Nothobranchius furzeri: one gene and its partner. The protein of the gene in region 2 interacts with the protein of the main gene of each other region in a pairwise test. Links are inferred from orthologs where the notes say so. Each region holds a gene or a part of one and is shown on either strand. Other genes may lie near its edges.

Region 1 (4,108 bases), on a different chromosome or scaffold from region 2:
GGTTTAGGCATCACGTAGCTCAGTCGCAGGAATAAATGAGCGTGCTTACTACTGGATGCGTCCAAATCCGGTTTCTGTTGTTTGTAAGCTGCCAGCAACATGCAACCCACCATATTTTCTTACACACTCTGTGCAAAAGTGTACAACAAATCCACCTTTTTGTTTTTGGGAGCGAAGCATTAAAGTTGAGGCATGTTTACGTCAGTTTGTGAAGGTTGTGTTTTTTTTAGTATGCTGATTTTAACCCACTCAGGCCTAAACAAGTATTAAAACCACCGTCTGCGGTGTTTCCACTCCTTTCTGTATGACAACCAAGCGACTGTTTACAACAACTAGACACCACGCAAATGAACAAGTGTGATAATAACTTTTTGAAAATAAAAATCCACTGGTGATCAACCTTTCTTACCTTGTTTAAAAATCGGAGTGTGCAGGGTTTTCACAGCTCTGTTCGGAGCAGCTGTTTGAAGGGGAAAGCGCAGACAAACGCAATGAGCATGCGCGGTCTGACCTGCTGAGGGCGGGGCCGTTGTGCAAGTGACATTTTAGACTGCTGAACTTTTGTTTAGTTTTATTACACACGTCGTGTCTATAACTCCATTGTGCAGGAAACACATTTTAAAACGATAGTAATAGTATGATAGTAAGGACGATTCCTAGTTAATCACTAAAATAAATAAATAAATAAAACACATTTGATTGTTTTAGTCCTCTGGTGCATTTTCTAATGCTTTAAACTTCAATATTTTCAAACACTCAGTATGTGTCATATATTATTTGTCTATAATAGCATTTAAATTGATGTGAGAAAAAAATGGGATATCTGCATCTATTTAGACCCTGATTTTTGCTTGACAGGTGAATCCAACTTAAGAAATCTCCGTAATACCACCACAAAACTATGAAGAACCAAGCAGCTAACTTTATGTATTTTGATAAATCACTAAAAATGAATTAGCAGCGTGTTTTGTTTAGCATCTGGCATGGGCTTCACGCAGCCTGATAGGTAATGCTCAGGAAACACTGCTGTTTTCAAGTAGGATTAACACAGAACTATAACTGCTAGCACCGCTCCAGAGCAGAGGACTCGCGGTCACTTTTCAAATCAGTCACTTTTTTTAACAGTAACACAATTTTAATACTTCTGTAATCAGTGTCTATACTTATAGTTGTTCATACGTTTGTCTTTTGTTTGCTTAATTTGTAAATCATTGCGCTCTACTTTTCTATCAGGTCTAGGTCTGTGTGCGCGTGCTCCGTTGCTATGGTGAAGAATTCTACAACAAGTTGATGCGTCGGCGTCATTGGCGTACGGGAACAAAACACCACACAGATAAACAACGAAGGGGTTTACAAGGTAAAAAAAAAGTAACCTAGTTCTTGAGGCTATTTATAAAAAGCCACAGAAAACCGTGACTCGTGTTTTTATCATTAACGTTAAGGCGAAAATTAGCCCCAACAGCTTGTGCTGATTAGCTCTCTTGGTGTTAAGCTATGACCGGTGGTGCCCTGCTTTTCATGACTACGTGAAAAAAATCCCATTTGTCATTTGTTCGCGTATCTGATATGTTTTCGTTTATTTTGAAGCTGTAGAAAACTGGCGGGCAGCTTAAGACAGCTGAAAACGTCAGCTCTTGTTTGTGCAACGCTTTTATTGTCAGGATGAGATTCGCTTTATAGTACTTATATGGGCCTATAAAGATTTTTACACGGGATACATAAAGTATGTTTGGTTTGAAAGCCATAATAAACCCAATTATTATTATTCTTGTAGGCTCAAGATAATTAGTGTCGCTGGTATTATTTGTCATAAAGTACATTGTGTACTAACAATTGATTCAATCAGCTGTTTTAATATTAAACATCACTTGAATGCCTGCCAGTGATACTGTACCCTTTGTGTGTCCTTTAATTCTTCAGATGTGTGAAGGACCTTCAACACTTTCTGGGCCAATCCCCCCAGATCCCTCTCTGTGTCCTCAGTTCTACAGACGCCCATCGTCAGGTTAGGAACTGTCAAATTTGTGTTTTTTGTACCAATTCTAATTTATTAAAAAAGTGTTACTACTTACAAATTATGAATTTATGTTTTCAATCTGCATTGTAAATAGTCTTCTTTTTCTTCTATGCTGGCTTGTTCACAAACTCGAGAGACACGAGCGTTCCTTTTACTGATTCAATTCAATTCAATTCAAGTTTATTTATAAAGCGTCAAATCACGACAAGAGTCGTCTCAAGGCATTTCACATAATAAACATTCCAATTCAGGTCAGTTCATTAAGCCAATCAGAAATAATGTTTCCTACATAAGGAACCCAGCAAATTGCATCGAGTCACTGACTAGTGTCCATGACTTTACAGCAATCCTCATACTAAGCAAGCATTTAGCGAAAGTGGAGAGGAAAACTCCCTTTTAACGGGAAGAAACCTCCAGAGGATCCTGGCTCAGTATAAGCAGCCATCCTCCACGACTCACTGGGGATGGAGAAGACAGAGCAGGCACGCGCGCACACACACACACACACACACACACACACACACACACACACACACACACACACACACACAGAGACAAAGACAAAGTAATGTGTCTATAGTTATATTGTGATTTCTTGGTAAATATTCTATTTGGTGAGAGATAAACTTTATTGTATTTATCCTAGTGGATCTATAATTAAACGGGTAAACTAGTAGTAGCACATCCAACGTCAAGGGAAGCAAAAAGTTATTATCAGGAGAGAGAGAATGTTTAAGTGGTTAGCAGCAGTGTGCTAGTCGATGGCCCCCTCCATGAGGCCACCACAGCTCAGCAGAACATCGTTGTAGCTTCTTCTGGGGAGAAAAACACTTAGAGAGAAAATAAAGTTAACAGCTGAAATAGCAGGAAATAGTACAGTTAAAGAGCAGATTGTAGAAGAAAGAGTAGAGTGTGGAAAGTGGTCAGTGTGTCCTCCAGCAGTCTAAGCCTATAGCAGCATAACTACAGAGATAACTCTGGATAATCTATAATCTATCTGATGTTTAATGCAGTCTTGCATCTTCAACTTTACACCACATGAACACCGTAGAACTAATGAAAAAGCATAAATCATGTACAAATTAACAAGTTAGTTGCCTTAAGTTTGCTAACATATGGAGTTTATAAATAAATAATAAACATACCACTTTGGTCTGCTAGTAGACAAGCCGGTAGACTTGAAAACACGTAACTTTCTTCTCAAATGTTCTTAATTGGCACAAATTTGTCCGTTCTCATCAATAAAATCTCCGAAACTACGAGAGACAGGAAGTGACGTCACAGCGCTCTTAAACACAACTTATCAAATAAACCAATTCAAAATTACTCAAACATCTAAAATGATTAATTCTGTGCACCTGTAAATGCTACAAAATGTATTGAAAACATGAAAAATAATATTTTAAAGAGCAAGTCACCCCCAAATCAACTTTTTTTGCTGATAAACTAAATAAACGAGTGTCTAATTGTGCTGCAGACACGTGTAGTCAATCATTTGGCACTTCAGTGCATCTTAGTTAAAATTTAAATATTCTGCCTAAAACTGTCAGTGTTGTGCCGTCGTCAGGTAAAAACTATACACTGTATTTGAATTTAAATCTGCCACTGCTGTTGGCTAAGAGGTATGCTATGATGTAAATTGGTACATTATGATGTCACAATGCTGTCGTGAGCCTGTGAGTGTGTGTATTTGTTAGTGGCTCCGCCCTCTCGGTCTGCCAGGCAACAGCATTTGCTGCATTTTTCAAACATGAAGTGGGAGTGGAGTTAGACTCTGGTAGGAGGTGACTTGCTCTTTAAATAAACATGTTAAATAAACTTTCTAGGGCATTCACAAAATCACAGTGCCATCTTGTGGTGAAACCTTGAACAAAAAAGTTGCTTCAACTACCTTTACATCTTCTTTGAAATGCTGCAACAACGTTGTTAATTTTTTGATAACTGATTCTTAATATGCATCATTTAGTACGCCATTACTGGAAATTGTACTGCACATAGTTTATTATACATTTAGAATTAATTACATGTTGGATTTTTTTCTCTCTCTCCTTCTTCAGCTCGTGGTCGCTTAGAGGGAAATCACGACAAGCC
Region 2 (3,565 bases):
TGTGATCCATCTTTCCCAAGACCCCGAGATACTTAAACTCCTCCATTTGAGGCAGGACCTCGTCCCTGACACGGAGAAGGCATTCTACCCTTTTCCGACTCGAGTCCATGATCTTGGATTTAGAGACACTGATTCTCATCCCAGCTGCTTCACACTCGAACCGCTCCAGAATCAAGGTTCTAGGGATCAAATAATATTATTTAAGCATTATTGAAGCATGAAATTAAAATTTCAGTCAGTCAGCCTTATTTAAACACAGATGTGGACAAAAGAGTTCGTACTGATCTGTTACAGAAAGGACTGACAAAAGTATTAATAATTAAACATTAACTGGAAATCAGCTCAACCGTTTCAGCAGAACAACTTTAGTAAACAAACTAATGAAACTTTAACGATGGTTTCTAATGTGACCAGAGGGACACATTCTACTCAGGTGTCTCCAGTCAGTTTAATGGCTGAAAGGTAGTCACCGTGCTGCTTGGTAAGGTGGGTACCACACAGAACACGGACCACAGAAAGCTGAGAACACAGCTGTCCCAGGAGGAGGTCAAGTTAAAGGCTGGAAGGCCATCTCCAAGCAGCTTGGTGTTCCTATCACTCGACAAAACTGGTCAACCCAAGCTAGTAGTGAAAGTGACCTCATACCGCTTGGAGAGTTTTCCCCGTAGCGAATATGCCAGGAATAACTTTGGCTTAATCAAGGTTGGGTCATGGAGGTACCAAATCCAGGAGATAAACTCAGACCTCCCTGCTCTCCCTAGAGACACTCTCCAGCTGCTCCTGGAGGATCTCAAGGTGTTCCCAGACCACCGAGGATATGAATCCCTCTAGAGGCCTCAGCGGTCTGTCCCCAGTGGGGTTTGTCTGGAAAACCTCAGACAGGTCTGAAAAGTTCCCTACATGCGTTAAAATAGTCTTCATGGGATGAATATGAAAACTCTTGTTTCAGACGAGCTTCAGACCTCCTGACTGAAGATTACTGTCGGACACGAGAAGTTACTAATCAAAAACAATCTGTTATTATATGAACCAGCTTTCAGTCAGCAACTCTGTTCTGATTCCAACACTGCACCGGGAATCCTCAGGTTTGTTGAAAATTGAATACATGATTAATTTTATGAACCAATCAGTTTGTAAATCCTGAAATAATGAGGAGCAAAGCTGAGTGAACATGGAGCTGTCAGCCAGAGCCCTGCATGGTCTCATCAGCAGACCAACAGAAACAATGACACATTAGTCAGAAACACACATCTATAACACACACATACACATTTACGCAGGTCAACTCGTCCATCACAATAACACACACACACACACACGCGCGCGCGTGCGCGCGCGACAGAGCTGACTGAAACACACACTATCTGAGGTCTACAAGGCTGCCTCCTGCATCAGAAACACACACAAACGGACAGCCACCAACATAAACCGACACGCGCTCGCAGTCCTGACAGATGGAACATGCTCCTCCATATTCTGCCCTGATAAAAAGGATTGTGGCCTCCAATATCAATTACCCTCTCATCCTGGAGGGGCGGGGGTGGGTGTTTTTGAGGGAGAAGAAGAAGAAGCAGTAGGAAGAGGGGTATTATCTCTAATTAGATTTTCTGCTCTATTTGGCTGCTGCTTGAAGAGGACAAGAACTCATTTCACAGCTCTTATCAAGGTGAATAATGAAGGAGAACAGGAGGAGTAGAACGGTTCTGGGTTGTGATCCTCCTTCAGACAACACTAAATATGTTCTGCATGTAAATAAATGAAAAAGAAAAAAATAAATGTTCTCACAGGAAAACACATGGAGTCGGCTTCTGAAACAACAGTAAACATTTACACGCCAGTTAAACTGGCCCTAAAGGATCTAGCTGTCGTTTATTACAGGCAAAAACATCACACACACCGCTGAACGGCAAACATAAAGTTCTTACCTGCATGTGTGTGCTCATTGACTACATATCACATGACCCACTGGAAGGTTTTTATGAAATGCAGACTGAAATCACTGGATGAATGTTTTCAGCCTGATTAAAGATGGCCGCCACAAACACAGACATGTCTCTAAAATAGCCCGTTTGACAAACGCTGGGCAGAAATCTGATGTGTTGCTAGCTGAGAGTCGTCCATGTAACAGTGCAAACAGACTAGCACAAAAACAACTAGAACTCCTCATTTCTCCTCCTGAGGTGATCTAAGTGGCTGAAGCCAACGGCCAATGCTAAGGAATGGGGGCAATTTAAAAAAAAACATTTCACGTGGGGGCGCTCACCGAGGCTGCCCAACAATAATTTTAACTGTTCTAAGGGATAATAGCTGTAATGTTTTCAGTTAGCTAATGTAAGGCTAACGCTAGCTTACATCATGGATTGTGGAGGTTCCCGTTGATCACTCAAGAAAAGAAAATAAGAGTTTTTCTTAAAGTAGCACTAAACAGTTTTCAACACTTAAAGCTGTTTCTTTAAAAGTGGCTTTCAGTGATTGTGAAGGTAGAAACTTTACCAACTTCATCTTGGACACCACTCTGCTCTCAGAGTTTCCTCTATTCTACTGAAGGTGAGAGCGTGCGCGGGGTGGGGGGGTGGCGGGGCGTCAGCCCAAGTTGGGCAAGCAGTCCACCGGGACAGTGCCAGGATGCCAGATAGGCCAGTCCACCCCTGCTAATTGTGTGTTTTACTCTATTGTGTACAGCACTCTAGGTGTACACCTCATAGGTGTGGCATTAGAATTTAAGCCGTGGCGCAGCACCACGTCTGAGCCTATGTAGGGGAGACAGTGGGAAGTGGTGGTGACTTTCTCTTTAATCCTCTTGGCTGTTGGGTTTTTAAATGATTAAGGATGGAAGGTGTTTAGGAAGTCCACTCAAACTGTAAATGTTGCTGCTGCCTGTTGGTTTTTGCTGCACAGGAACTGCACGTCTCTTGGGGATAATAGTGTTCTTCAATTTCAACATGTGACCCACCAGAACCCGTCACAAGTGGCATCTTTTTGAGTTCACCCAAAACGCCTTGAACCTGAGTTGTAATCATATTTAAATGGATAATATGAGACATTAGCAGAATATGTCCACTGTCTCAGAATTAGCTAAAAACATCTGCAGTTTCACCAGAAATGTGTTTGAAAGACTGATCAGTTTTAGCATAGGGTTGCTAGTTGATACTTGTTTATTTAACCTTGTGACACTTTCATGTTTTCCCTAAAAATCTCAAATCTATACAGAGCACAACATCTTCAGGTCACGCAGAGGTTGTGGCTAAATATAAACGTTTAATACGAGAACAGAAAAGTGTCACGACGACCTGACTAAAACCATCAACTATTAACTTTATAACCAAACTGAACAACACAGAATAAAATCATACTGGGCCGTTTGCTGCAGTTGGCGGGCGTGAAGCAAAGCCTCGTCTCTCTCCTGATTGGCCAGCAGGAGTCGTGACATCAGAGCCTGATCTCTGTTCTTTTGAGCTGCCAGCACCTCCTCCAACATCACTGAGAGGAAGAGAAGAAAAGGAGAAGGTGAAACATAAAGAAAAAGAAAGGATCGAGAGAGAAGGAGACAAGGAAAGGAGGTGAG

What was found.
Region 1: the proteins of mipol1 (region 2) and enkd1 interact in binary tests that used the Homo sapiens proteins (3 or more experiments, as listed by UniProt). The two-hybrid records come from large-scale screens. The link is inferred for Nothobranchius furzeri from reciprocal best matches to the Homo sapiens genes MIPOL1 and ENKD1.

Annotation. Positions count from the first base shown.
Region 1 is NC_091757.1:55,623,930-55,628,037, reverse strand, and holds the start of enkd1 (enkurin domain-containing protein 1), read left to right. Parts: upstream 1-1,243; 5' UTR 1,244-1,357; intron 1,358-1,920; coding exon 1,921-2,005; intron 2,006-4,074; coding exon 4,075-4,108. UniProt on the Homo sapiens protein: Microtubule-binding protein which regulates microtubule organization and stability. Promotes the stability of astral microtubules and facilitates the proper orientation of the mitotic spindle.
Region 2 is NC_091758.1:16,368,516-16,372,080, reverse strand, and holds part of mipol1 (mirror-image polydactyly gene 1 protein), read right to left. Parts: intron 3,481-3,565; coding exon 3,354-3,480; intron 1-3,353.